7 linked regions of the Macaca mulatta genome follow. The protein of the gene in region 2 interacts with the protein of the main gene of each other region in a pairwise test. Links are inferred from orthologs where the notes say so. Each region holds a gene or a part of one and is shown on either strand. Other genes may lie near its edges. The genes, in order: PCBD1, FXR2, LCP2, NME1, NECAB2, FBP1 and SCEL.

Evidence for each region.
Region 1: the proteins of FXR2 (region 2) and PCBD1 interact in binary tests that used the Homo sapiens proteins (3 or more experiments, as listed by UniProt). The link is inferred for Macaca mulatta from reciprocal best matches to the Homo sapiens genes FXR2 and PCBD1.
Region 3: the proteins of FXR2 (region 2) and LCP2 interact in binary tests that used the Homo sapiens proteins (3 or more experiments, as listed by UniProt). The two-hybrid records come from large-scale screens. The link is inferred for Macaca mulatta from reciprocal best matches to the Homo sapiens genes FXR2 and LCP2.
Region 4: the proteins of FXR2 (region 2) and NME1 interact in binary tests that used the Homo sapiens proteins (3 or more experiments, as listed by UniProt). The link is inferred for Macaca mulatta from reciprocal best matches to the Homo sapiens genes FXR2 and NME1.
Region 5: the proteins of FXR2 (region 2) and NECAB2 interact in a two-hybrid assay, tested with the Homo sapiens proteins (2 studies listed by BioGRID and IntAct). The link is inferred for Macaca mulatta from reciprocal best matches to the Homo sapiens genes FXR2 and NECAB2.
Region 6: the proteins of FXR2 (region 2) and FBP1 interact in binary tests that used the Homo sapiens proteins (3 or more experiments, as listed by UniProt). The two-hybrid records come from large-scale screens. The link is inferred for Macaca mulatta from reciprocal best matches to the Homo sapiens genes FXR2 and FBP1.
Region 7: the proteins of FXR2 (region 2) and SCEL interact in binary tests that used the Homo sapiens proteins (3 or more experiments, as listed by UniProt). The two-hybrid records come from large-scale screens. The link is inferred for Macaca mulatta from reciprocal best matches to the Homo sapiens genes FXR2 and SCEL.

What each region holds. Positions count from the first base shown.
Region 1 is NC_133414.1:78,748,809-78,752,832, reverse strand, and holds the start of PCBD1 (pterin-4-alpha-carbinolamine dehydratase), read right to left. Parts: upstream 2,801-4,024; 5' UTR 2,776-2,800; coding exon 2,773-2,775; intron 2,461-2,772; exon of another isoform or gene 2,091-2,460; intron 140-2,090; coding exon 8-139; intron 1-7. UniProt on the Homo sapiens protein: Involved in tetrahydrobiopterin biosynthesis. Seems to both prevent the formation of 7-pterins and accelerate the formation of quinonoid-BH2. Coactivator for HNF1A-dependent transcription.
Region 2 is NC_133421.1:9,095,700-9,099,199, forward strand, and holds part of FXR2 (RNA-binding protein FXR2), read right to left. Parts: intron 1,634-3,500; exon of another isoform or gene 1,557-1,633; coding exon of another isoform or gene 1,551-1,556; intron 1,332-1,550; coding exon 1,279-1,331; intron 920-1,278; coding exon 826-919; intron 1-825. UniProt on the Homo sapiens protein: mRNA-binding protein that acts as a regulator of mRNAs translation and/or stability, and which is required for adult hippocampal neurogenesis. Specifically binds to AU-rich elements (AREs) in the 3'-UTR of target mRNAs.
Region 3 is NC_133411.1:179,132,062-179,135,561, forward strand, and holds part of LCP2 (lymphocyte cytosolic protein 2), read right to left. Parts: intron 3,001-3,500; coding exon 2,934-3,000; intron 2,817-2,933; coding exon 2,733-2,816; intron 1-2,732. UniProt on the Homo sapiens protein: Adapter protein primarily involved in signaling pathways within T-cells, as well as other immune cells such as platelets, mast cells, and natural killer (NK) cells.
Region 4 is NC_133421.1:58,843,836-58,847,162, forward strand, and holds the end of NME1 (nucleoside diphosphate kinase A), read right to left. Parts: intron 2,518-3,327; coding exon 2,416-2,517; intron 1,384-2,415; coding exon 1,271-1,383; intron 813-1,270; coding exon 695-812; 3' UTR 501-694; downstream 1-500. UniProt on the Homo sapiens protein: Major role in the synthesis of nucleoside triphosphates other than ATP. The ATP gamma phosphate is transferred to the NDP beta phosphate via a ping-pong mechanism, using a phosphorylated active-site intermediate.
Region 5 is NC_133425.1:79,364,322-79,367,078, reverse strand, and holds the end of NECAB2 (N-terminal EF-hand calcium-binding protein 2), read right to left. Parts: intron 2,388-2,757; coding exon 2,310-2,387; intron 1,464-2,309; coding exon 1,372-1,463; intron 958-1,371; coding exon 929-957; 3' UTR 501-928; downstream 1-500. UniProt on the Homo sapiens protein: May act as a signaling scaffold protein that senses intracellular calcium.
Region 6 is NC_133420.1:128,832,751-128,836,967, reverse strand, and holds the start of FBP1 (fructose-1,6-bisphosphatase 1), read right to left. Parts: upstream 2,801-4,217; coding exon 2,631-2,800; intron 1-2,630. Other genes in the region: uncharacterized protein LOC144334803, read left to right, coding at 2,799-2,996, 3,063-3,218. UniProt on the Homo sapiens protein: Catalyzes the hydrolysis of fructose 1,6-bisphosphate to fructose 6-phosphate in the presence of divalent cations, acting as a rate-limiting enzyme in gluconeogenesis. Plays a role in regulating glucose sensing and insulin secretion of pancreatic beta-cells.
Region 7 is NC_133422.1:72,337,079-72,341,148, reverse strand, and holds the start of SCEL (sciellin), read right to left. Parts: upstream 2,801-4,070; 5' UTR 2,566-2,800; intron 1-2,565. UniProt on the Homo sapiens protein: May function in the assembly or regulation of proteins in the cornified envelope. The LIM domain may be involved in homotypic or heterotypic associations and may function to localize sciellin to the cornified envelope.

The sequences.
Region 1 (4,024 bases), on a different chromosome or scaffold from region 2:
GCCATACCCTGTTGAAGTCTTTGAAATGAAACTGCTTGAAGATGGCATCGCGGCCTTCCAGCTCATTCCACCCCACGGCCCTCAGGTTTGGCAGCAGCTGGTCCCTCTCCTCAGCACTCAGCCTGTGTGCTTTGCCAGCCTAGAAGAGGGGAAAAAACGAGGCCCAAGAGCATTTCTTTTTATAGGTCAAAACAGGGGCTCCAGCCTTTAGGGGAACTTAGCCAGCCTCCACTGGCTGCTTTGGACGTGGGTGACCAAGGGCAGCAGGTCTTTGAGCAATAAGCTGGAAGCCCTCAAGGGTGGCACTCTGCCCAGGAGGTGGGGTCCAGGCTTGTCCGCTGATAGGCTCTCAGGTCTTGGGTTTTACACTCCACACAGAGAAAGGAAATCCCAAAAGCAATGCAATTCATATGACGGGGACAGAGACACTCTTCCCCTATCCTGCCCTCAAAGCCTTACAGACCTTCCCCTCCATAAGATCTATTACATCAGTGAGGGCGTAAAAGCAAAATAAATCCCAGATGCAAATATATTACTCCACAACCTCTGAGGAAGAGTACCATGACTGTCCCCCCTTCCTTTTCCTATTATGTACTTTATCATATGCACCCCACGTCCCTACGGTAACTTTCATGTGTATTGAAGAGCAAACAGGCCTAGAGAGGGGAAACGACTTGTCTGCTGTTCTTTCCTGCCCTCCCCTAGCCAGGGATGGCGCAGTGTTGTCTGTGTGTCAGCATCCCTGGGGCTGGACAAAGGAGCTGCATTTAAAATAAGTGTCCAGCCCATTCTTAGCCACACTGTAGCTGACCGTGTTGGCACTACCTCTAGTAGGTCCTCAGTCATGCTCCCAGGCAGCCTCTGGTCCTGAGCCGCCAGGGCTAGGTTCTCCGGTTTTCCATCTGCTTTTCTGGCTGGTTGGGAAGCTCAGGCCACAGAACTCAGTCCCCAAAGTGGAAGGAACTTGGCCAAAGGCAGCTGGCAAACCTAGTGCCCTGTCCTATTTACCTAATGTGCAAAGTGCCCTCAACGCAGCCCAAATTGGCACAATTCAGGCCATGAGTGGAACCTCAGAGAATGCAAGGAAGCAAGGGTCAGTTTCATCCTAGGAGGATCCAGGTCTAGGACCTTAACGGATCCCAGAACCTAGGCTTCTAGAGTAGCACCACCCAAGGGCAGAAATAGAGTGCTGAATTGAAAAGAAATACTTAGGGGTGAGGAGGGAATGTGAGGGAGGTTAATTTAGCTTTTATGAGGCAGCCTGCAGACTGAACACCATGTGTTGATTGGCAGGAAGTTTGAGCCCCGCTTTCACCATTTACCAGCCAGGTGGCTGTACCTCTCTTGGCAGAACCTCTACCTCCACAGATCATCAGGAGGTGCCAATGGGACACTTTAGGAAACTCCACTGCTATAAAGCAAATGTCATCTGCATTACAAAAAAATACCTCCTAAGGCAAGTAGGCTTGTGATGGGCCTGGTAGCATTTGTGGTAGCTGAAGCATCGCAGTGCTTTCCTAAGTCCGTCTTTTTTCCCTCCTGTTTCCCTCCTGAAAACGTGAGCTCTCTCCGGACTGAGGGAGCTTGGCCCCTCTCCTCTCCTCGGCTCTAGATGGCTACAGGGATTGAATGGCAGCAGCGATTTGCATCATCTGCCCAGTAGGGAGGTCTCTACTCCAGAGCTGGCCCTCTCCCCGTGGCTGACTGCCTGGTCCGTGTATCCAGACAACCAGAAGTCAGCCAAAGCATCAGAGCCCACTGTTTACTTCCTTGGCTCTTAAAGGGATGGGTGAGTCCAGGTGAGCTCTTAGGAGGCTTCCCTTTCTCGGTAGAGCCTTCTGGAACCCCCCAAGTCGCAGAGCCTGGGGCTGAACTGACAAATCTTCCAGGTGCCGGCTCTGGAGAGGGGGACGGTGCCCTGTTTGCTTAGTAAATCCCCGCCAGGTCTTGCCTCCTCTGGCGAGGTGTGGGGAGTGGTCGCCGATTTCCCAAGCCTGCATCTCTGGGGGCCTCAGCGCCCCTCACAAACAGCCCCACTCATCCTCCCTCCCCCAAGTCCCTCTCCCATCAAAAGGCCCTCCCAGTCTTGCCTGCTCCGAAGGCCTGTGGGCCAGAAACGGTCTGATGAAGCGCCCGAGCTTACAGCAGAGCAAGGGGCCCGCCCCCGCCCCGGGGGTAGGTGGGGGAAGCTAGCCCGGGAGGAGGGCTGCTCCTGCGCCACCAAGCCCCCGCGGCCGGGCACCGGCCTCAAACCGGCGCGGAGGCTGGCTCTGGAGCCCGGGACCGCACATGGGCTCAGAGCGTGAGTCCCAGGCGGACAGACCCTGTATCCAGAGTGCGAGCGGGAAGGGGCGCGGACGGGTACGCACAGGAGCGCGCAAACTCAGCCTGCCTCTCGCTCCCACCCCAGTATAAAGCCGAATCGGGCCACTAAGGGGACGAGATCTGCGAACTCTCCCACCACGGTCCTCCCCGGCCCTGTAAGGTCGTAGGCCCCGCCCCCAGCAGGGTCCGGGAACAAGCACTGGCCTGGGTCAGGGCAGGCCTGGCCTCCCAACTGGCTGGGACCGGGACCCGCCATGCCCCTCTCAGGGCCTCAGCTTCCCCTCCCCGCCGCCGGCGACAGGGACCCGGGCAGAGACCCCACTCTCGGACCCCGGCGGCTCCGCAGGAGGCTCGAAAAGACCCTCCCCCGCCCCGTCCCGCTCCCACCTCGCCCGCTGCTGCCCCGGCCCCGCTGCCCCGATCGCGGCGGCGCACCCCTGGACTCACCATGGCGCGGGCGGCAGCAGGTGGCCGGCGGAGAGGGCAGGCGGCGGCCGGGCGCGCAGGCGGCCGTCCCGGGGCGGGGCCGCGCTCGGACCGCCCTCCGGTAATGATTAACGTCCCCAGCCAGGGACGCGCTCGGCCTGCTTCCTTCCAGCACTTTCCTCGCTGCTCAGAGCCAATCCTCCGAGCTTGTTTCAGGGAGCTAGGGTGAAGCATGAGGGCTCCAAATGCCCACTTCAGGGTTGGAATCCCAGCCCGCCGCTTACAGCTGGGTGGCCCTGGGCGCCAGAATAACTATTTATTTCTTTATAAAAATCTTTTATTTGGATAGAATTGACATGCAATAAGTTGCACATATTCAACGTGTACAATTTGATGAATTTTAATGTTTCCCTCGTGAGACCGACACTGAGATCAAGATTATGAACATATCAAGTTTCCTTGATGACTAATGATATTGAATATCTTTTCATGTACTTATTTGCTAAGGATAAGTCTTTTTTGGTGAATAGCATGTTTGAATTTCCTGCCCATTAAAAAAGAAATTGGGTTGTTTGTTTTCTTACCGAGTTTTGAGGGTGTTTTTTTCTGGATATAAGGACATGATCAGGCAGTGCTTTTCAAATATTTTCTTTGAATTATCTTACGCTGCCTTTCAAAGAGCAAACGTTCTTAATTTTGATGAAATCCAATTTATCAAATGCTTCTTTGATAGATTTCTATTTTGATGTTGTACGCATAGAAATCTTGGCCTAACACGAGATCACAAAAGTTTTCTCCTATGTTTTAGAGCTTTGGGTTTTACATTTAGTCTGTGATCCACATTGAGTAAATATTTTTGTATGCTTCAAGTTATAGATCCAGATTCACTTTTGCACATGGAGATTCAGTTATTCCTTTCTCCACTGAATTGTCTTCGCACCTTTGTAAAACATCAATTGATTATATATGTGTGGGTTTATTTCTGAGCCCTTTCTTCTGTTCCATTGATCTGTTTGTCCATCATGACAGGACGCTACCTTGTCTTGATTATTATAGCTTTATAATAAGTCTTAGAGTCAGGTTAGAAAAGTCCTCTCACATTTTACATTTTTTCTGTTACCTTTTATTCTTGTACTCCATTTTTATTCCCCCCCGCCCGCCGCCACGGCCCATAGCAGCCTCTCTAATGTGTTAATGTGTATTTTTGTTTGCACACGTTCTTGCAAAATGTGTGGTGTTGTTTCGTCTATATGTATTTTTAAATTTATGTAAA
Region 2 (3,500 bases):
GCGAGACTCCGTCTCAAAAAAAAAAAAAAAAAGAAAAAGACTAGCCTGGCCAACATGGTAAAACCTCGTCTCTGCAAAAATACAAAAATTAGCCAGGCATGATGGCAAGTGCCTGTAATCCCAGCTACTTGGGGGGCTGAGGTGGAAGAATTGCTTGAAACCGAGAGGTGGAGGTTGTAGTAAGCCAAGATTGCACCACTGCACTCCAGCCTGGGCAACAGAGCGAGACTCCATCTGAAAAAAAAAAAAAAAAAAAGCCGGGCACGGTGGCTCAAGCCTGTAATCCCAGCACTTTGGGAGGCCGAGACAGGCGGACCATGAGGTCAGGAGATCGAGACCATCCTGGCTAACACGGTGAAACCCCGTCTCTACTAAAAAGTACAAAAAACTAGCCGGGCGAGGTGGCGGGCGCCTGTAGTCCCAGCTACTCGGGAGGCTGAGGCAGGAGAATCGCTTGAACCCGGGAGGCGGAGCTTGCAGTGAGCTGAGATCCGGCCACCGCACTCCAGCCTGGGCGACAGAGCGAGACTCCATCTCAAAAAAAAAAAAAAAAAAAATCAGCGCACACTGGATTTTAGATGCTGTTACCACAAATGGAAGGCAAATCCCCTGAAACTGGGGATGTCCCTCAGAGTTTGGCTGATCATAACAGTGATGAAAGGGGAACTGTTGCATTTTACATTTCCACAGGCATGTAGCCTATGGAAATGACTTAGTGGCTGGATATGGTTTAGTTGGGGAGGAAGGAATATGAACCAACCAGAGAAAAGCCTAGAATCCTGGGAAAACGTGACATTTAGAAAGGGTGTACTCCACAGCCCTTACCTCCACTTCATCCCCTTCTGTGATCTCCTTATTATAGTCAGCTGGAGGTGGTAGTCGGACATCTCCAAAAGGAATTTGTCTCTCACTCTGCCAGCTGTAAGAGAAACAAGAATATGAAAAAGCTACTCTGACTGATACGGTTGCCCATTTCTTTACAAAAGGGTTATTGCCTCGGCTGGGCGATTCCCACCTATCTGGATAATCAGAGGCTAACCCCCAGGTCCTGCTCCATAGTGGTGCCATCCATCTCTTTCTAGACTCTAAATACTGGGCCAAACGCCCCCGCCCTCACCAAATTCTCAGCCCTTTCCTCTCCTGGGATCCATGTAAGTTCCCCACCCAAACCCTCAGGTCTCCCCACCTATTACATGCCTCATAGGACTCAGCCGCCCCCTCTTCTCCACTCTCCTTCTAGGACCTAGTATGCTGGATTCTCTATTCCCAAGGTCTTACTTGTTTTCAAAGAAGATGGTGACAGAGTCTTCATGGACATCCTTCACAAAGCCCTAGAATGGATTTTAGAAAAAAGTAAAAAATATAAAATGACCTTTTACTTCCACCTTAGCCACCAAGGGAATAGAGACACCACAAACCCTTAAACTTGAGTTTTAGATAGGGACACAAGTGGTGTAATGAGAGAGCCTGAAAGGCTGCACTGGGGAAAGAATATGGGCAGTCAGACAGAGAAAGGAAATTATATTGTCATGGAGAGGTGTATGTACCACCTGCATCAGAACAGCCTGGAAACCGGTGATCTACTCAGGCTCCCACAGGGGCCTCCCTATCTGTCTGCCTCCTGTTGTGCTGAGCAGCCTGCCAGAGTTCAATTAAAATACCAACAACATTCAGCAAGGCTAAGAATATCCCATGAGACAGTGTGAGGCTGTCCTGGAACACCTAGAGGACATGAGGATCTGTCAAGAGAGAGAAAGGCCTACCTCCGCAATACAGCAAGAGATCTGAGCAGACTCGCTGCCCTGATGCATGGGTCCTAAGACAATAATCAGAACACTAGACAAGTTCAAAATTGTGATGAACACAATTTACAGAAGGAAAAATTAAGACTTAAAATACATCAGAGTTTTTTAATACTAGAATTGAATCTAGAATGACACTGAAAATTTATAAAGGATAACAAAATGTATGGAAGACTCCAAACTTGATATTATGACAAGAGGAACAGGGACGACTGAACAGCTGATCCATCTCCTGTGGTCTATGTCCTCACTAAGGAGGCCAAAGCCATGAGTTCACCCCTGCGCTCCCAATTTTTCTACCTTCCCCCTATTTGTCACATACAATTAGGGATTTCTAATTTTGAAAAAGGTCTAGCTTATGAATTTATTATTTTATCAACTGTGCTTTTGGTTTCATATCTAAGAAATCTTTGCCCAGGCCAGGCACAGTGGCTCACACCTGTAATCCCAGCACTTTGGGAGACAAGGCAGGCCGATCATCTGAGGTCAGGAGTTCGAGACCAGCCTGGCCAACATGGTGAAACCCCATCTCTACTAAAAATATAAAACTTAGCCAGGCATGGTAGTGCATGCCTGTAATCCCAGCTACTTGGGAGGCTGAGGAAAGAGAATCACCTGAACCTGAGAGTCAGAGGTTGCAGTGAGCCAAGATCGTGCTATTGCACTCCAGGCTGGGCGACAAGAGCAAAACTCCATCTCAAAAAAAAGAAAAAAGAAATCTTTGCCTAATCCAAGGCCACAAAGGTTTTCCCTTATGTCTTCTTAAACTTTTAGTTTTTTGTTTTACATTTACATCTATACTCCTTTATTTTTAGACAGAGTCTCACTCTGTCACCCAGGCTAGAGTGCAATGGCACAATCTCTTGGCCCACTGCAACATCCACCCCCTGGGTTCAAGCAATTCTCCTGCCTCAGCCTCTCGAGTAGCTAAGGTTACAGGCAACCGCCACCATACCAGGCTAATTTTTCATATTTTTAGTAGATATGGGGTTTTACCATGTTGGCCAGGCTCGTCGCGAACTCCTGACCTCAGTTGATCCACCCGCCTCGGCCTCCCAAAGCTGGGATTACAGATGTGAGCCACTGTGCCTAGCCCTATAATCCATTTTGAATTAAGTTTTACATATAAAGTGAGGTATTGATCAACGTTTTTTAAATTTTTTAATTTTTATTTATTTTTTTTGAGACAGAGTTTTGCTCTTGTTGCCCAGGCTGGAGTGCAATGGTGCAATTTTGGCTCACCGCAACCTCCGCCTCCCAGGTTCAAGCAATTCTGCCTCAGCCTCCCAAGTAGCTGGGATTACAGGCATGTGCCACCATGCTCAGCTAATTTTGTATTTTTAGTAGAGACAGGGTTTCTCCATGTTGGTCAGACTGGTCTCAAACTCCCGACCTGATCCACCCGCCTCAGCCTCCCAAAGTGCTGGGATTACAGGTATGAACCATTGTGCCTGGCCTCTTTTTTTAAAACATATTTTTATTTATTTATTTTTTTTTTTTTTTGAGACGGAGTCTCGCTGTATCGCCCAGGCTGGAGTGCAGTGCCCGGATTTCAGCTCACTGCAAGTTCCGCCTCCCGGGTTTACGCCACTCTCCTGCCTCCCCCTCCCAAATAGCTGGGACTACAGGCGTCCGCCACCTTGCCCGGCTAGTTTTTTGTCCCGGCTAGTTTTTTGTACTTTTTAGTAGAGATGGGGT
Region 3 (3,500 bases), on a different chromosome or scaffold from region 2:
GATTCTGTGCGAGGTTGGCTGCTGAAACTGCCTGCTGTAACCTGAAACCACTTTTATCTGGTAGTTGCTGAAATAATCTGCTGCCACTTGAAGATTAATTTGCCCTCTGCCATCGCTCACCAATCAAAACTTGCCAGCCCCCCAGAACCATGAACTTTCTCTCTTTTTTTCTTTTTATTTAGACAGAGTCCCACTCAGTCGCCCAGGCTGGAGTGCAGTGGCGCGATCTCGGCTCACTGCAAGCTCCGCCTCCCAGGTTCACGCCATTCTCCTGTCTCAGCCTCCCTAGTAGCTGGGACTACAGGCGCCCGCCACCATGCCCGGCTAATTTTTTTGTATTTTTTAAGTAGAGACAGGGTTTCACCATGTGAGCCAGGACGGTCTCAATCTCCTGACCTCGTGATCCTCCCGCCTAGGCCTCCCAAAGTGCTGGGATTACAGGCATGAGCCACGGCGCCCGGCTATAACCAATGAACTTTGTCAATGAGCGATATGTAACACTTCTCTTTTCAATAAAACCTCCAATCTTCTTTATGTTCTTCAGACATACTGAAGACCCTGAAGACCAATTGCCCCAAATTGCAATTCTTTCTTCCTAAATAAAACAAATTTAGAGATTTGCCTCTACGTTTTTATTTTGACTTTGATATGGTCATATGGGCTGACGATTGTTAGTGAACTCGCCTTTCTTTCCCTTCCTTCCACACCCAGGCGCAGCTAATGCCCCATGGCGAATGGTGTGGAGTTGTATTTTCACAACATGATTTATTCTTTAAGGACCAAGAATATGCCAGGCCCATGATAAGAATATTGCCTCACTGTGAAGAGCTTACTGGCACTGAGTGTGGTGGCTCATGCCTGTTGGGAGGCCAAGACAGGAGAATCACTTGAGGCCAGGAGTTCAAGATCAACCTGGTGAATACAGGGAAACCCCAGTCTCTACAGAATATTTAAAAATTAGCCAGTCATGGTGGCATGCACCTGTAATCCCAGCCCTCTGAGAGGCTGGAGAAGGATTGCTTGACCCCAGGAGTTTGGGGCTGTAATGAGCTATGATGGTGCCATTGCACTCCAGCCTGGGTGACAGAGTGAGACCCTGACTCAAAAAAAAAAAAAAAAAAAAAAAGGAACTTGCTGGTAGTGGGAGAGTTTTGATGGTATAAAAGCTGTTTATGAAACTTTGCTTTGGGGTGGAACCTCTAATAAGTATGTTAAAATTTGCCAATTTTTGCATATTCTCTGAGTACGTTAAAAGTCTCATGTGGAGTGTAAACATTTTAAGAAGTCAGTAATCCTTCCAAAACATCACAGAAAAGGGACTAATTCAAGGGTAAAACAGAAATTGTCAGAAAAGTGTGTCTTTTAAAAATGTTTTTAAATATAGAAAAAAAGAATCTTTTAAAATAATAACTTTTGTGTCAGGAGGGGATTGTGAAGGATTTGATGTCAGTGTTCCACTTTTCTGATGTCTTGGCTCATGGCAGTGAGCAGGGTTGGAATCTAAAGTCAAATCTGTCTTCATTTCCATGTAATTACACAGCTCTCTATAGCAGATGATTCCAAGCCAAAACAGCCAGCATAGGTTTGCATGACTCAGCAGAGCTGTGATGTACTTCGGGGAAAGAGCAGTGAGCAGCAGCCTCAAATCCAAGAACTGAAAGTCATTTTGCTGACAGACAAAAAGGGATTGAGGCCACAGAAAGCTAAATGCCTGGCTCAGAGCACAGCCAAGAAAGGGGTGAGGGGCAGCTGGGATTCTGAGCTCCTTTCCGTTCAGTTACAGAGTTCCTTCCTCAGACTCATGTAGTTCACAGCAAGTTAAAACCCAGGGTCCTCAACTGCAGCGTGATATGGTGGAAAAGAGCCCCCACTTAGAAGTCAGAAAGACGAGGGTTCAAATTTAGGCAAATTATTCAACTTCTTTGACCCTTAATTTTATCATCTGAGAAGTGAGGATAAAAATGCATGTCCTTTGTTGAGTTGGTGTGAGGATTAGAGATACTGTAGGTGTATTCGCAGTATGTAGAGCACTTGCCCCACAGTAGTTGCTCAATAAATGGTAGCTAAGTTTTAGAATTGAATTGAAAATAGCTCCCCATGAAGGTAACTGCAATCCAAGAATATTCCGTGTAAATTGTGAAGAAAAAGGACTGTGGTATACCCAAGTTTGGTCAATTGTGTACCTAAAACCAAAACATCCCTGACATTTGAATAGCACCTTAGGGATTTTATAAAGCATTTTCTATGTACAGAACATCCACCTTACAGATTAGGAGATTGAGCCCTGAAAAACTAACATCCCAGTGGTCTGTGAGCTACTAAGTAGCAGGCAAGGCAGCAGACACCAGCTCCCCTAACCCCCTTGTCTCAATTCAGATCCTCTCTCTGTACCCCAAAGCCTCTTGGCTGAAGGACAATGGGATTTCTGTACACAGATCACACACATCACATAGAGAAGCAGCACCACCCCCAGGAGCAGAGAGCAGGAGCTTTCTAATGAGGCAAATCTGGGTTTAGGTCTCTACTCCCATCACTTGGTAGCTGTGTGATCTTGGGAAGGTACCTCTTTGTGTTTCAGTTTCCTCATCTGTAAAATGAGGATGATTCTACTAGTCTCCATTTCCTAGTATTGTGGCCATAGTTACATGAGATGGTGCATGTGAAATGCATGCAGGAAGCACTTTATAACAGCTTATCATTATTACTATGCATTAAATGTGAATCATACCCACCTAGTGTGAAGGGTTCTCTGTCAAACGGAGCTAATGAACGATCTAAGGGAGGTTTGGTGCTTCTGTCTATTGAAGGAGCAGGGACTGGAAGGGGAAAAGGCTGACATCAATGAAAAGAAGAAAGCAGTCGGCTGGGGATGGGGTGGGGCTAGGGGAGTGCCTGGTGGGAACAGGGCAAGAGAGAGCAGCCCTTGTACTCACGCTTTGCCGTTTTGTGGTTTCTGCTTCTGCTGGGTTCTTCGTGGTTGGTCTGGGGTGGTGGTAGTGGCTGCATAAAGATCCAAACGTTAGGAAGCATTTCCAATACATCAGCAAGACCTGGCACTCCCAAAACCTGTCTGGATCTGCTCACTTTTCCTTATCTTCATGTTCTGCCTAAAAACATCCATGACCATTTCTTCCCTGAACTACTGCAGTAGCCTCCTATCTGAGCTCCCTGTTCTAGACTCTGCCACGTAAGCTCTTTTCTGCAGGCAGCGGAGTGAGCATGTCACTTTCCTGATAAGACTTCCAGTGGCTCCTACCACATTAGAAACAAAATTAAAACTCGGTAATGTCCTGCAAGGCCCTGCCTGAGCTGGCCCACGTCTGCTCTCTCAACTCTTTCCTGTGATCCCTTCTCAGTACCCATGGGGTCTCCACCTTAGAATCTTCTTGCAGTTCTTGGAAAATCTCAAGGTCATGCCCTCTTTGGCATCCCTACACTTGTTTCCCTCTGCCTAGAATGTTCTTCTCCCAGCTCTTCCTACAACTGGCTCATTCTGTCCC
Region 4 (3,327 bases), about 50 Mb from region 2:
GTCAGTGTCTTGCTGTGTTGCCCACGCTGGACTTGTACTGGCCTCTAGCGATTCTTCCCCTCAGCCTCCTGAATAGCTGGAATTAAAGGCATGAGTCATTGTACCCAGCCTAATTTTTTTTTTTTTTTTTTTTTTTTTAGTGAGACAGGGTCTTGCTCTGTTACCCAGGCTAGTCTCCCACCTCAGCCTCCCAAGTAGCTGGTATCACAAGCACAAGCCAGCACACCCAGCCCTCATGTATTATTTCTGATGAATCCTCTGCACCTAGTCCAGTCTTGGCCATGTAGCAGATGCTCCATAGATGCCTGTTGAGTAGCTCCATGCCAAGAGTGGAAGGGACGCAGGGGTTAAGAAGGGCAGGCAAAGAATGCCTGTGTGTATGTGAGATCTCAATATAAATAATTTTTATAGTATTTACATTCTCTATTAGGTCAGGTTATTCAGTGTACATGAAAAGAAGAAAAAAAAATACAACAATACAAAGTAACCAACTCAATGAATCCTAAGTTGGGAGGAAGCATTTTAATCAGATGGTAGGGGATGGTAACACTGTACAGGGAGCACTCACAGCTCCAAGAGCTTCCTTCCAAATTATGACGAAGTTCCTTTAAATAACTAGATTTCCTAGAGCCTGGTCCTCTGCCCATGGGAAGGAGGAGAAATGGATGTGAAAGCATTGTAGCCTGCTCTCCTGTCATTCATAGATCCAGTTCTGAGCACAGCTCATGTAATCTACCAGTTCCTCAGGGTGAAACCACAAGCTGATCTCCTTCTCTGCACTCTCCACGGAATCACTGCCATGTATAATGTTCCTGGGTGGAGAAAGAGATAGTCACATGACCAAGACCAGAAGGATTAAAATGCGCCCATTGCCAGAAATCTACAGCCACGGCAGCATAAAAGCTGAAGCTCCATGGACATTAGACCATGTTAAAAGAAAAAGCCTACAATGGCCATTCATGTAAGGGTGAAAAATGCCCTCCCCACATTCAGCCCTCCCGGTCACACTGGTGCAAACAGTAAGAGCCTTCAGGAAAGACTGTGGCCAGCAAAGTGTGTTGTACCAGGTTCTACACTTCGTGTAACGGAGGTACAACTACAGTGATTTTAAAAACCAAAGCCAAACACCAACTTAAGGGGGAGGAAAACAATAAACTCCGATAAAATCAACCTGCATATGGTATCATGTCTACCTCCAGCCTCAAAAACCCAAATCCTTGTGGCAACTAAATCAGATTTTGGAAAAGGGGGAAAAAGAGCAAAATCTCACCTGCCAACTTGTATGCAGAAGTCGCCACGGATGGTCCCAGGCTTGGAGTCCGCAGGGTTGGTCTCCCCGAGCATGACTCGGCCTGTCTTCACCACATTCAGCCCCTCCCAGACCTCCAAGGACAGAAGAAGATATGGTCAAAGAAGAAAACCCATCTCAGCAGAAAATCTGGCAACTATTAATCCAAAAATAGGAAAAAATAAAAAGGCCCCTTAAGATGACATTCATTCACTGAACAAATATTTAGAGTATCCACTTATTCCGGCACTAGGGATCCTGGTCTCCCTGCCCTGATGCTTGCCTTTCTACAATGTACTCTCCATTCAGCAACCAGAGCAGCCTCCTTAAAATGCCAAGTGTGGGCAGGGCGCGGTGGCTCACACTTGTAATCCCAACACTTTGGGAGGCTGAGGCGGGTGGATCACGAGATCAGGAAATCATGACCATCCTGGCTAACACAGTGAAACCCCGTCTCTACTACAAATACAAAAAAATTAGCCGGGCGTGGTGGTGGGCACCTGTAGTCCCAGCTACTCAGGAGGCTGAGGCAGGAGAATGGTGTGAACCCGGGAGGCGGAGCTTGCAGTGAGCCGAGATTGTGCCACTGCACTCCAGCCTGGGTGACAAAGCGAGACTCCATCTCAAAAAAAAAAAAAAAAAGGCCAAGTGTGAAGTGTCCCATAGCTTCCCAGCACTCAGGAACTACATGGTCAACACACCCCTAAGAGAGGAGGCCCCTGCCCATGCCTCTGAACTCTTCACATCCCAACTTCTCTCCCACCCATCAGGCTTCGGGCATTTCAATTCTCCTCCCATACTTCAAAACGCCAAGCTCATTCCCACCCTGGGACCTTTGCACATGCTGTTTGCTTGGCTGGAAATGTTTTTCACTGTGATTCTGTACATAGCTGGCTGCTTCTTGTCATTCAGATCACAGCTTAAAATTTGCATTCTTTGATCATCCATTCTAAAGTGATCACTTGCTACTCCTATTCATTTCTGGGCCTATCACTAACCATTAGCTGATATATGAAAATAGATATCTATTTGGTCTCACTCATGACTGTATCCCCAGTGTCTAGAAGAGAGCCTAGCGCAGACGACAAGCAATGCATACTTGGAGTATCTCACACAGGCACACTCACCATGGCAACTACCGGCCCTGAGTGCATGTATTTCACCAGGCCGGCAAAGAACGGACGGTCCTTCAGGTCAATGTAGTGTTCCTTGAGAAGGTCTTCAGAGGCCTATTCAACAGGACGGAGAATGAGAATGGCCCCAAACCATCTAAGAACATACAATCCATGTAAATTCCCCTCATCCACCCTGCTATGTAAAACATGAGTGGTTGGGCTCACTGATTCTGTTATAACCCAATTCATTCTCCACACTGGAAGGGAGCAGTGACAGGACTAAAAGTACTTCTCCAATTTTATATCAATTGTCTCCCTATTGGCATTGACTGATAATAAAACCACAGAACATTAAAATTAAATTCAGCTATCTCATTTTTAAAAAACTCAAACTCCTGGGCTCAAGTGTTCCTCCTGCCTCAGACTCCCAAATAGGTAGGACTGTAGACACACACTACCAGACTTGGCTAATTTTTAAAATTTATTTATTTATTTTGAGACAGAGTCTCCCTCTGTCATCCAGGCTCGAGTGCAGTGGCGCGATCCTGATTACTGCAACCTCCACCTCCCAGGTTCAAGTGATTCTCCTGCCTCAGCCTCCCAAGTAGCTGGGATTACAGATGCCCGCCCACCATGCCCAGCCAATTTTTGTATTTTTAGTAGAAACAGGGTTGTTGGCCAGGCTGGTCTCAAACTCCTGACCTCAGGTGATCTGCCTGCCTCGGCCTCCCAAAATGCTGGGACTACAGGCGTAAGCCACCACGCCCAGCCATACCTGGCTAATTTTAAAAAATTATTTGTAGAGATAAGGTCTCACTATGTTGCCCAGGCTGGTCTCAAACTCCTGGACTCAAGTGATCCTCCAGCCTCGGCCTCCCAACGTGCTGGGCTTACAGACGTGACCCACCATGCCTGGCCCTCAAC
Region 5 (2,757 bases), on a different chromosome or scaffold from region 2:
GCCCGTCCCTGGAGCATCGTGCCTGGTGAGTGTCTTAGTTGGGCCACACTGCGTGGTCTGTGCCAACCATGTGACTTATGGTGGGGGCTTGAGCCACAAGGTGTCAGCCGTGTCTATGTCACCGAACCCCAGTAAGACTTGGGACTGCATCCCTGGTTGGTGATGCTCTGTCTGTTGAAGCTGGGAGGGTTCAGTGATGTCTGTGGCCTTTACTGGCAGCCCCTGCCTGGCCCCTGTTCCGGGAGCCTCTTTCTTTGCTGGATTTTGTCTGTCATCCACCTTGACTTTGACAGTTGCGCCCAGTCCTCTGAGTGAATTACTGACCTGAGGGTGGGGGTGGTGCCCTCTGGGCTCCTGAATAGGCATGAGCCTATGTGTCAAAATACCGCATAGAGTGAACACCTCCATTTTATGGTTCAGAAAACGGAGGCTGGGGGCACTTGCAGGGTGCCCAGGCCCCTGCTGCTGTCAACCAGGAACAGACACAGAGCACACAGCCCTTCCCAACCAGGGTTTATTCGGCGCCTGGGCCCAGTGGCGGCGGCCTGGCTAGGTTGGGCACTACAGGGTCCTAACTCCTACCAGGTAGAAGAATGTCACTGAAGAGGGCAGGGCGTGGTGAGTGCGGGTCATGCGTGGCCGTCTGAGGGGTCGGGGAGAGGCCAGGACCAGGAGGTGGGGGTGCTGGCCCCAGGAAGCCGCCCCCTTCACCCACAACCTTGGGCTTCACCAGGACCGGGCAGCACAGAGACTGCTCTGCCTTCTCGGGTGGGGGCAGGGGAGGCCTCCTTCACGTCACAGCAGGGAAACACCGTGTGGAAGACGGGTTGAAAAGACAGCCTCTGCACCAGTTTCTAGAACACAGGGGATGTCCTTCACAAGCAGAAGGGGCCAGGGGTGGGCTCCTCCGCGGGCCTCTGGGAGGCTGTCAGTCCCGTCCCACCGTGCACCAAACAGCTAGAAGGACAGAGACAGGTTAGAGGGAAGGAGTGCGAATGTGGGTAGCTGGTGGGGGCCGTCTTGAAGGGCAGGTGGGGAGATGGCTTTGAGTCCTTATGTGACCCACGGGTGCTTGCTGGTCACCCAGGAGCAAACCACACACCTGGGAAGGGAAATTCAGTCTGGCTAGAAGTAGCGGGCTGTGGAAGGGGTGCTCTGGTGCAAGCTCCGGCCGGCATGCCTGGATGTGGGGCCACCTCAGGGCTGGCTCTGAGCCTGGAGCTCTCCTCTCCCCCTAGGACCCTCCCTGCACACCTGGCATTGGGGTCAGGAGCTTGCAGGCAAGTCCCTGGGAGAGGCGGGGTGGCTTCTAGGCTCTTGCCCGGCTCTCCAATCAAGTGGCCACTGCAGTTCCAGGCCTTCGCCCCCTACCTGGCACCGAGATCCTGGAGAGGGCCTCAGGCTGGCTCAGTGTGTCCACCTTGACGTGCCGGAACGCCTTACACACGGGACTTTGCAGGTGCCTGCGATCCAGGGAGATGTGTTAGGGGCACCAGGAGTGGAGCTTGGCATGTGGATCCCCTGTTAATCCTAGCTCTGCCCAAAATGGGGAGCTTATAAATAAGCCCGGGGGGGGGGGTCTTTGGACTCCAAGCCTTTGTGGGAAGGTGAGGGGGTGCCTAGGGAGGCTGACTCTGGGGTAGGCACTGAGCCTTACATGGGCAGTGGCATCCCCCTACTCAGTGCACAGAGCATCGACCTCCTGTTTTACCCTAGGAGGAGGAGTGGGGCCATCCTCCGCCTGGGACGGATGACAACACAGCAGCTGTGAAGGGTTTTAGTCCCTCATTTTATGAGTCACTGAAGTACGGACAGGCAGGGGACACCCTCACTTCTCATGACAGCCCCTGTTCCCACAGGGGTCCTGAGTTTCTCTGCAAACTGTGTTTACCGGGGAAGCAGGATATCGGGGCATGAGCTACCCCCAGGCCCTGCTTCCTGCCTGTGGGGTCTGGCGCATCAGAAATTAGGCTCCGCCCAGAGTGGGGAACAACCTGTCCCAGATGTGCTTGGAGCAGACGACAAAGGCCTAAAGCCCATCAGAGCTGATGACACCCTACCCCATCTCCCTCCCTCCTACAAGGCACTCAGCTGGGGGGGAGGTTAAGCGCTGGAACAACTGATCACATGGGGACTGAGGTACCTTCTAGGTCAGGTCCTCAGCTCTACAGGGTGATAAAGAAGGCAGTGCCTTGGCCCACAAGGTGCTCTACAGGGAAAGAGCGTGGTGGGGGGTCTCTCTACCCACCAGGAGCTCCTGGCTCCAGGAAGACAGCCCCCACACCTGCTATGGAGACCCAGTGTCTCACCTCTTCCATGCCTCCTCCGTCTCCCAGAACTCATAGATGACAAAGGTGAAGCCATCCGAGAGCCTCACGGCAGTGATGCTGCAACAGGAGACAGACAGGCAGGGAGGCTGGGGCTCAACCGTGGCCACCCTAGTCCTGTAGCCCACCCCTATACACAACCGCTGCCTTCAACCTTTCTGGTCCTCCAGCGAGACTCAACAGGGTGCCCCCACCACCTGGAACAAGGCCTGGTTTCTTATAGTGGCCAATAGCTATTTGTCAATGACATGTAGTTTTTCTTTTGAGACAGGGTCTCACTCTGTTGCCCAGGCTGGAGTGCAGTGGCACAATCACTTCAGCCTCCCAAGTAGCTGGGACTATAGGTGTGCACCACTTGGCCTGGCTAATTCAAAAAATGTCCTAGTAGAGCTGGGGTCTTGCTATGGTCCCCACGCTGGTCTTGAACTCC
Region 6 (4,217 bases), on a different chromosome or scaffold from region 2:
TATCTTCTGTAGCCAAAATTAGCATGCTTCATCCAGGCCCTACTATCAAAATCTCACTATCTGAGGTCCCACTATCTAAGGTTACTTAGGAAGTGGGACACTTCAAAACACATCTTACATTTCTAAGTCTCTCTAGGAGTGTGACAGGTACTGACCATTTTTTAAGCTATCAGACATGAGAAGCCCTTTTTTTTTTCTTTTCTGAGACTTACTTTTTTGAGACAGAGTCTCACTCTGTCGCAAGGTTGGAGTAGAGTGGCACAATCTCGGCTCACTGCAACCTCCGCCTCCCGGGTTCAAGCAATTCTCCTGCCTCAGCCTCCCAAGTAGATGGGATTACAGGCACCCGCCACCATGCCTGGCTAATTTTTGTATTTTTAGTAGAGACGGGGTTTCACCTTGTTGACCAGGCTGGGCTCCATCTCCTGACCTCAGGTGATCCACCTGCCTCGGCCTCCCAAAGTGCTGGGATTACAGGTGTGAGCACCCAGTCGACAGCCCTCTTTTTAAAATATATCCCTGGTCCTCAAAGGCAGTTAAAGCTGTGAGCCACCTATAATAGCTGTAAATTAAAGCTTGAATAAGATTTCACCTGGGTGTGTTTCTAAAGTAAGAATCCTTAGGAATGTATTATTAAGAGGGGCCAGAGGCAACAGCAATGGAGTCATCGCCTTCCTTAACATGTCTGCTTAATATTCAAAAATAAATGTGATCATACAACTCCTTTACATGAATGATCTCCGCCAATCCATACTGTGGGACCAACGCCAGACAGCCTCCCAGTAAGAAGAGGAATCTAGATTGCAGGATGGGGGGCGGAGAAGAGATTTTAAAAATGGAGACATGCATTCCAAACCAAAGTAGTGGGATTATATTTGTTCAGGTCAGCTCTGAGCATCATGTGTCTTTTGTTTTGAGATGAAGTCTCACTCTTGTCGTCCAGGCTGGTGTGCAATAGTGCGATCTTGGCTCACTGCAACCTCTGCCTCCAGGGTTCAAGCAATTCTCCTTCCTCAGCCTCCCGAGTAGCTGGGATTATAGGCGCACACCACCACACCCAGCTAATTTTTGTATTTTTAATAGAGACGGGGTTTCACCATGTTGGTCAGGCTGGTCTTGAACTCCTGACCTCAGGCAATCCACCCGCCTTGGCCTCCCAAAGTGCTGGGATTACAGACGTGAGCCACCGCGCCCGGTCCATCATGTGTCATTTTTATAGCGTACGTAAGTGCAGGAAATGTTAGGAAGGTGTATGGACAATCTGAAAACCCAGTTACCCTTTAGTTAAAAGTGTGGATCAGTTAGCTAGAAAACACCTGTGCACGACTGGGCACGGTGCCTCATGCCTGTAATCCCAGCACTTTGGGAGGCCGAGGCAGGCGGATCACCTGAGGTCGGGAGTTCGAGACCAGCCTGACCAACATGGAGAAACCCCGTCTCTACTAAAAAAAATTACAAAATTAGCTGGGCGTGGTGGCACATGCCTGTAATCCCAGCTACTTGGGAGACTGAGGCAGGAGAATCGCTTGAACCCGGGAGGCAGTGGTTCCGGTGAGCCAAGATCGCACCATTGCACTCCAGCCTGGGCAACAAGAGCAAAATTCCGTCTCAAAAAAAAAAAAAAAAGAAAGAAAGAAAGAAAAGAAAAGAAAAGAAAGAAAGGAAAGAAAAAGAAAATACCTGTGCACACCAACACAAACGAAAGGATGTTGTGTGACTTACAAAAACCTCACAAGAAGGGGTCCTTTGAGTCTCCCCTCGCCTTGACCCCTTGCTACTCACAATGAGATCAGCAGACACACAGTATCTGACCGGCAGCATCCACCACAGGAGGACTTCTCAGAAATGCCGAATCTCAGGACCCGTCCCAGAGCGACGGAAAGAGGGCACACGTCTTACCAAGATCCCCAATGATTCCGGTGCCCAGTGACGTTCGAGATGCACCCCACAGAGCATTCGAAACCATTCTACAAACAACTTTTGAGCTTTCCACTAATTGGGTGGGGGCTGCACACACCGTCATTGCAAATGGATAAGGGTTTTGAAGCCCTGGGTGTTTCCTCTTTCTGGCACAGCATGGCAACGGTCCCAGCAAGGGGCAGCCCACGGGAGCTCCTTTGCACACCAGGCTGCTGCTCCTAAAGGCTCTGGACACACAGGAGACCTCCAGCCTGCTTGGGAGGGGGACACTCGCTCCTAACAAGCCTCGTTTCGGGTCAGAGATACTGGACTAGAAACCTGACTTGGGCGCCTCATCACAGAAAGAGAGAAAGAAGAGATGGGGACGGAAGGCACCTGAGCCAGCACTTCCTGTCTGAGGCCAGGGCGGGTATGACGGGCAGGCCAGGTGCCGGCTGAGAGGGGCACGAGGATGGAATCCGGCGTGCACCTGCGAGACGGACCCCCAGGTGGCCCCTCCAAGGTCAAGGGAGGGGGTGAGAACTTGAGTGAGGCTGAGCCAGCTTCCGCAGAGAGGGGCCACCAGACGCAGAGCGAGAGAGGCGCCCGGACATCAGACGGACAGACAGAGGCTGACGCAGGAGGACCAGAGGGCCCAGCGCCGGACAGGCTCCCCGGGCGGACGGACAGACAGACAGACAGACAGACGGGCCCCGCCCGAGGCGACTCACAGGTGCGCGATGCCGGCCTTGCGCACCGCGGAGGAGATGGCTTTGACGGCCGTGCAGAGCGAGTTGAGCAGCTGGGTCAGCTCACCCGTGCCGCGGGCCTTCCTGCCCTCCTCCATGACGAAGCGGGTCAGGGTGTTGACGTCCGTGTCGAAGGGCGCCTGGTCAGCCATGCTGGGGCCGGGCCGCGGGGCGGCAGGTGCGGCGGCAGGTGCGGGGGCAGGTGCGGGGCGGCAGGTGCGGGGGCAGGTGCGGGGGCAGGTGCGGGGGCAGGTGCGGGGGCAGGTGCGGCGGCAGGTGCGGGGGCAGGTGCGGGGGCAGGTGCGGCGGCAGGTGCGGGGGCAGGTGCGGGGGCAGGTGCGGGGGCAGGTGCGGGGCGGCAGGTGCGGCGGCAGGTGCGGGGCGGCAGGTGCGGGGCGGCAGGTGCGGGGGCAGGTGCGGCGGCAGGTGCGGGGGCAGGTGCGGGGGCAGGTGCGGCGGCAGGTGCGGGGGCAGGTGTGGGGGCAGGTGCGGGGGCAGGTGCGGGGCGGGACCTGGCGGGAGGACGGACAGACCGACTGCGGCCCCGAGTGTCCGCGGCGCTCGCGGTGAGACTGGGCCAGGCCCGGCGCGGGCGGGTGAACCGGGAACCTTTAGCCGCGGGTCGGCCCCGCCCCCACCCCCGGGAACACCCCGCGCCGCCTCCCGCCGCCCAGCCCGCGGCTCCGCCCGCCGGATCTTCGGACCCTCCCCGCGCCGCCCCCGCAGCCTCCGCGCCCTCCATCTGCGCTGCGGGGCGGGGCTCGGGCCGTCGGACCCGCCGGAGAGAAAAGCTGTTTCTTTGCCGGAGTTTCCTCCACAATCATGACGCGGAAGTTCACAGAGGTTGAGTAACTTGCTCAGCGCCCCAGTTGGGCAGCGAAACCCCCAGCAGCCCCCGCTCCGCAGACCCGCCCGCGCGGCCTCCTGCCCGGCCCCTGCCCAGGCCTGTCCACCTGCCCGTCCTGTCACTGCCCCCCTGTCCACCTGCCCGTCCTGTCACTGCCCCCCTGTCCACCTGCCCGTCCTGTCACTGGCCCCCTGTCCACCTGCCCGTCCTGTCACTGCCCCCCTGTCCACCTGCCTGTGCTGTCACTGCCCCCCCATCCACCTGCCCGTCCTGTCACTGCCCCCCTGTCCACCTGCCCGTCCTGTCACTGGCCCCCGTCCACCTGCCCGTCCTGTCACTGCCCTCCTGTCCACCTGCCCGTCCTGTCACTGCCCCCCTGTCCACCTGCCTGTGCTGTCACTGGCCCCCTGTCCACCTGCCTGTGCTGTCACTGGCCCCCCTGTCCACCTGCCCGTCCTGTCACTGGCCCCCCTGTCCACCTGCCCGTCCTGTCACTGGCCCCCCTGTCCACCTGCCCGTCCTGTCACTGCCCCCCCGTCCACCTGCCCGTCCTGTCACTGCCCCCCTGTCCACCTGCCTGTGCTGTCACTGGCCCCCTGTCCACCTGCCTGTGCTGTCACTGGCCCCCCTGTCCACCTGCCCGTCCTGTCACTGGCCCCCCTGTCCACCTGCCTGTGCTGCCCCCCTGTCCACCTGCCCGTGCTGCCCCCCTGTCCACCTGC
Region 7 (4,070 bases), on a different chromosome or scaffold from region 2:
CTGTAATCCCAGCACTTTGGGAGGCCGAGGCGTGTATATCACCTGAGGTCAGGAGTTCGAGACCAGCCTGGCCAATATGGTGAAACCCCGTCTCTACTAAAAATACAAAAATTAGTCAGGTGCACACGTGTAGTCCCAGCTACTCGAGAAGCTAAGGCAGGAGAATCACTTGAACATGGGAGGCGGAGGCTGCAGTGAGCCAAGATCGTGCCATTGCACTCCAGGCTGGCAAAAAGAGCGAGACTCCATCTCAAAAAAAAAAAAAAGCAACAACAAAAATGACTTTTGATTCAGAAGTGAACTTGGAACAACTCCAGCTATGTATGCAGCAATTAATATATAAAAATCTTTATTTCAAAGTCCCTAGCCAGAGCAAATGGAAAATGATCAACAAATGGTCTAGAAGCAGGATAATGACAGAAAGTGAAGCCAAGTGAAACCAATAAAGATTTCCCTTGGACTGCAGGGCCAAAGATTTGATCCCCTCACTCTTAAGAAATGGTGGGAGTTGATGCCTGAACCATATAGGATGCTCTCAGTTAAACAATGTTTGCTTAAGTTGACTGCTTAGTTCATTCCACAGTATGAGCTCAGTCATTCAAAACATATTCTTTGTTTTGTTTACATAGTCCCCAGGAATATGAACCTCTCAGGTATTTCATCATAATTCTGGTAGTCTGAGAAGGCAGTCAGGTAAGCATCACCTACAGAATGGCATTCGGGGCGAGGGTGTTCTGATTGTACAGACCACAGCTAACACACATACATCAGATCCCCTCCCTGCTGAGGGGCTACTGGATCCTGAGATGAAAATCTCATAAATATAATAAATGGCAACACTGATTCCACAAGCCACAAGTTGGAAACATATGTCTACGTCTTCCATTATGTCTTAGTCACACCATACACAGTATAATATTTCCACATATTGCTGGATAACCACAGTCTGTGATGGAGTGTGGTTCGTTTATTGCTACTACATATTTTATAATAAAAAGTATTTGAAAAAAATATTGAGAAAATTCAGTAAGACAAAAGACAAGCAATTTGGCTTCATGTTCTGGTTCTGCTACTCTGATCTTCACAAGTTACTTAACATTTATGCTTTGTTTTTCTCATCTAGAAAATTCAGGCATTAGACTAGATGGGCCTATGCTCCATTTCAGTTGAAATATTCAGTCAATTAGATCTAAGATTTACACGAAGCTAACATTCCAATAAAAATTCTGACCTGTTGTTGGCATTCTCTGTATATCCCAACATTTAGGATCATCTGAATGTTTTACTAAAATTTTTACTGTTGTCATTTCTCAGTTTTCTCAAATTGATGTTTCTGATACTTTAAACACTGGAGCACTGCAAATATTAGGAAGGCTATATCTACGTTATAAACTGTGGAAGTGAAAGACAGTTTTAAATGTAATCACATTTTATGAAAAATAAAATTACCCACACATGCTATGCTTTAGTTTTCTGGTTACTATAAACACTTGAAAGCCAAGTTATAAAATTCTTCGGTAAACCTCTGGGAAATGAGCACTGAGCACTGGTGTGCCTAAACCCCTCTCAGACTGCAGGTGACCTGGTCAGCAATAGGAAGCCATGAGAACTCAAGTACTAAAGATAGAGCCAAGTATGCTGTGGGGGCGCCTCTCTGGAGGACACAGACCTGCAATTTGCAAGCTGTGAGTGGCCCCTGCATTTGAATTCCACAGCTCTGTATCATAAATAGAAATGATTAAAAAAAAAAAAAAACACAAACCAGACAAGTCAGCTTAACTATTAATTACAAAAGAACTCTTCTATCCTTACCAAAAGTCTCCCAAAACTGGTTTTTCAGGACTAGGCTATGAATAAAGTTTGAAAATTGCCCCCATATATATTAATCACTCCTTAGGTTAGAATGCAGAATATACTGTAGAGAAGTTGGCCAGATGCCCACAGATCATATATACCCCTATTCTGCCCCCACACCCTGCCTTTACTCCTTGGTACTTTCAAGTAAGAAATGGCAATTTTCTTATTTGGGGAAGATAGGGTGGAGACAAAAACCTCATAAAAATAAACCTCTCTCTCTCATAGCTCAACAACTTGCAATATTTTTAGCAGTAGAGAAAAAATATGACTTATTAACTATAAAGCAATATTTGAGTTCACTATTTCACTAAAAGCATCATTTATGAAAACAGAAAGTTCCTTTAAAAAATGTTTGTATAGTCACTTGAGAAAATAAACCAGCAGGTGCTGGTCCCTTCGCTTAAATAATTTATTATCCTTTGTGTGGCAGGATTCACCAGCTGACAGCTCCCACCCAGAAAATCAAATAGGTGCTCATTTCTGTGATGCCCGTAATGTGTAAAGTTGCCAAGAAGTTCAATGCAATGTGGCCTAAAAGTACAGCAAGGAAGAGCAGAGCTAACAGTCAGCTGGAGGCTGTCAAAATTTATAGGAAGAAAAGACAAAGATAATACTGTAAGTTCTAATTTTAATCATTTGAAAGGAACACAGAGAAAGCTGTGCACATACAGCAGATGTATTTCTGTTTGCAAGTATAATTCAACTTACCTCTATTGAGCAGAAAACCAGGACTTTTTGGCTAACCGGCCTGTAGTGATTCCCTGGGAGGATCTGACTGAAAGAAATGGGAACCTAGAGTTTATTCAGTGGAGTCTCAACCTCTACCTGACTGTATTAATGAACAGTTCAGAGGTTTCTTTCTCAGCGGCTGAGTCACTCAGGGAGGAGGTCTGTGGTATGCAACAGGGTGTCACCTTGTACAAATACCAGTTCAATTAAAACAGTCTCACTCGTGAACCTACGGCCTTTGTTTGGTGAATTCTTTAACTTACGGCCTTGTTATGCAAATATATATATATATAGATACGCTCCTGTGATTGCCCTTTAACTGATATCAACAATATGCACAACCATATCACTGACAAGGTGGCATAGGACCCAATCTATTTTGCATTCTCTTTCAAAAAATAAAACTGAAAACTCAATAGAAGGAACCCCCATATGCCCACAGTACCTGGAAGGCAGGGGCACAGACAAGCATGCAAGGAGTACATGGCTTAAAGGAAACTTCAAGACAAACAAGTTCTCAAAAACCCAGGAACCCTAGGATCAGAAAACACGAAAGAAGTCTGTTCCAAACATTCTACACCTAGAATATTTTGTAAAACTATCAAAGGGAAAATACACCCAGCACATAAGAATTCTAATCTCTATCTTATTTATCCATGTATAAAAAAATGTGAAAAAGGGCCAGGCGTGGTGGCTCATACCTGTAATCCTAGGACTTTGGGAGGTGGAGGCAGGCGGATCACCTGAGATCAGGAGTTCAAGATCAGCCTGGCCAACATGGTAAAATCCTGTCTCTACTAAAAATACAGAAATTAGCTGGGTGTGATGGCGCACACCTGTAACCCCAGCTATATTTAATAACAGTAACATACCATGATAAAGTCATAGACAGAAATTTTCAATGCCAGGCATCGCATAGGGGAGAGAAGGAAGAACCTGGAAGGTGATGTTGATGCAGAGTTTTAAAGTCTTAGTAGACAGTGATTAGATGGTCAAGAAGAACCATTCATCCACTCTGGCAGGAGGAGGCAGGAGAATCACTTGAACCAGGGAGGTGGAGGTTACAGTGAGCCAAGATTATGTCACTGCACTCTAGCCTAGACAACAGAGTGAGACTCTCTCAGAAAAAAAAAAAAAAAAAAAATGTGAAAAGGATGGTTGAAACTTCTCTCATAACTGAGGGCAGCAGTAGACCCAATGTCAAAGGTTGCTTCTGGCCAGTTGCAGTGGCTTTCATTTGCACTTTGGGAGGCCAAGGTGGGAAGATCACTGGAGCCAAGAAGTTTGAGACAAACCGGGCAACACAGTGAGAGAGATCTCATCTCTACTGAAAATAAAATATCAGCTGGGTGTGATAGTGCATGTATTTGTTCCCAGTTACTCAGGAGGCTGAGGCAGGAGAGTCTCTTGAGCATGGAAGGACCAAGCCACAGTGAGCTGTGATCACACCACCGCATTCCAGTCTGGGTGACAGAGTGAGACCC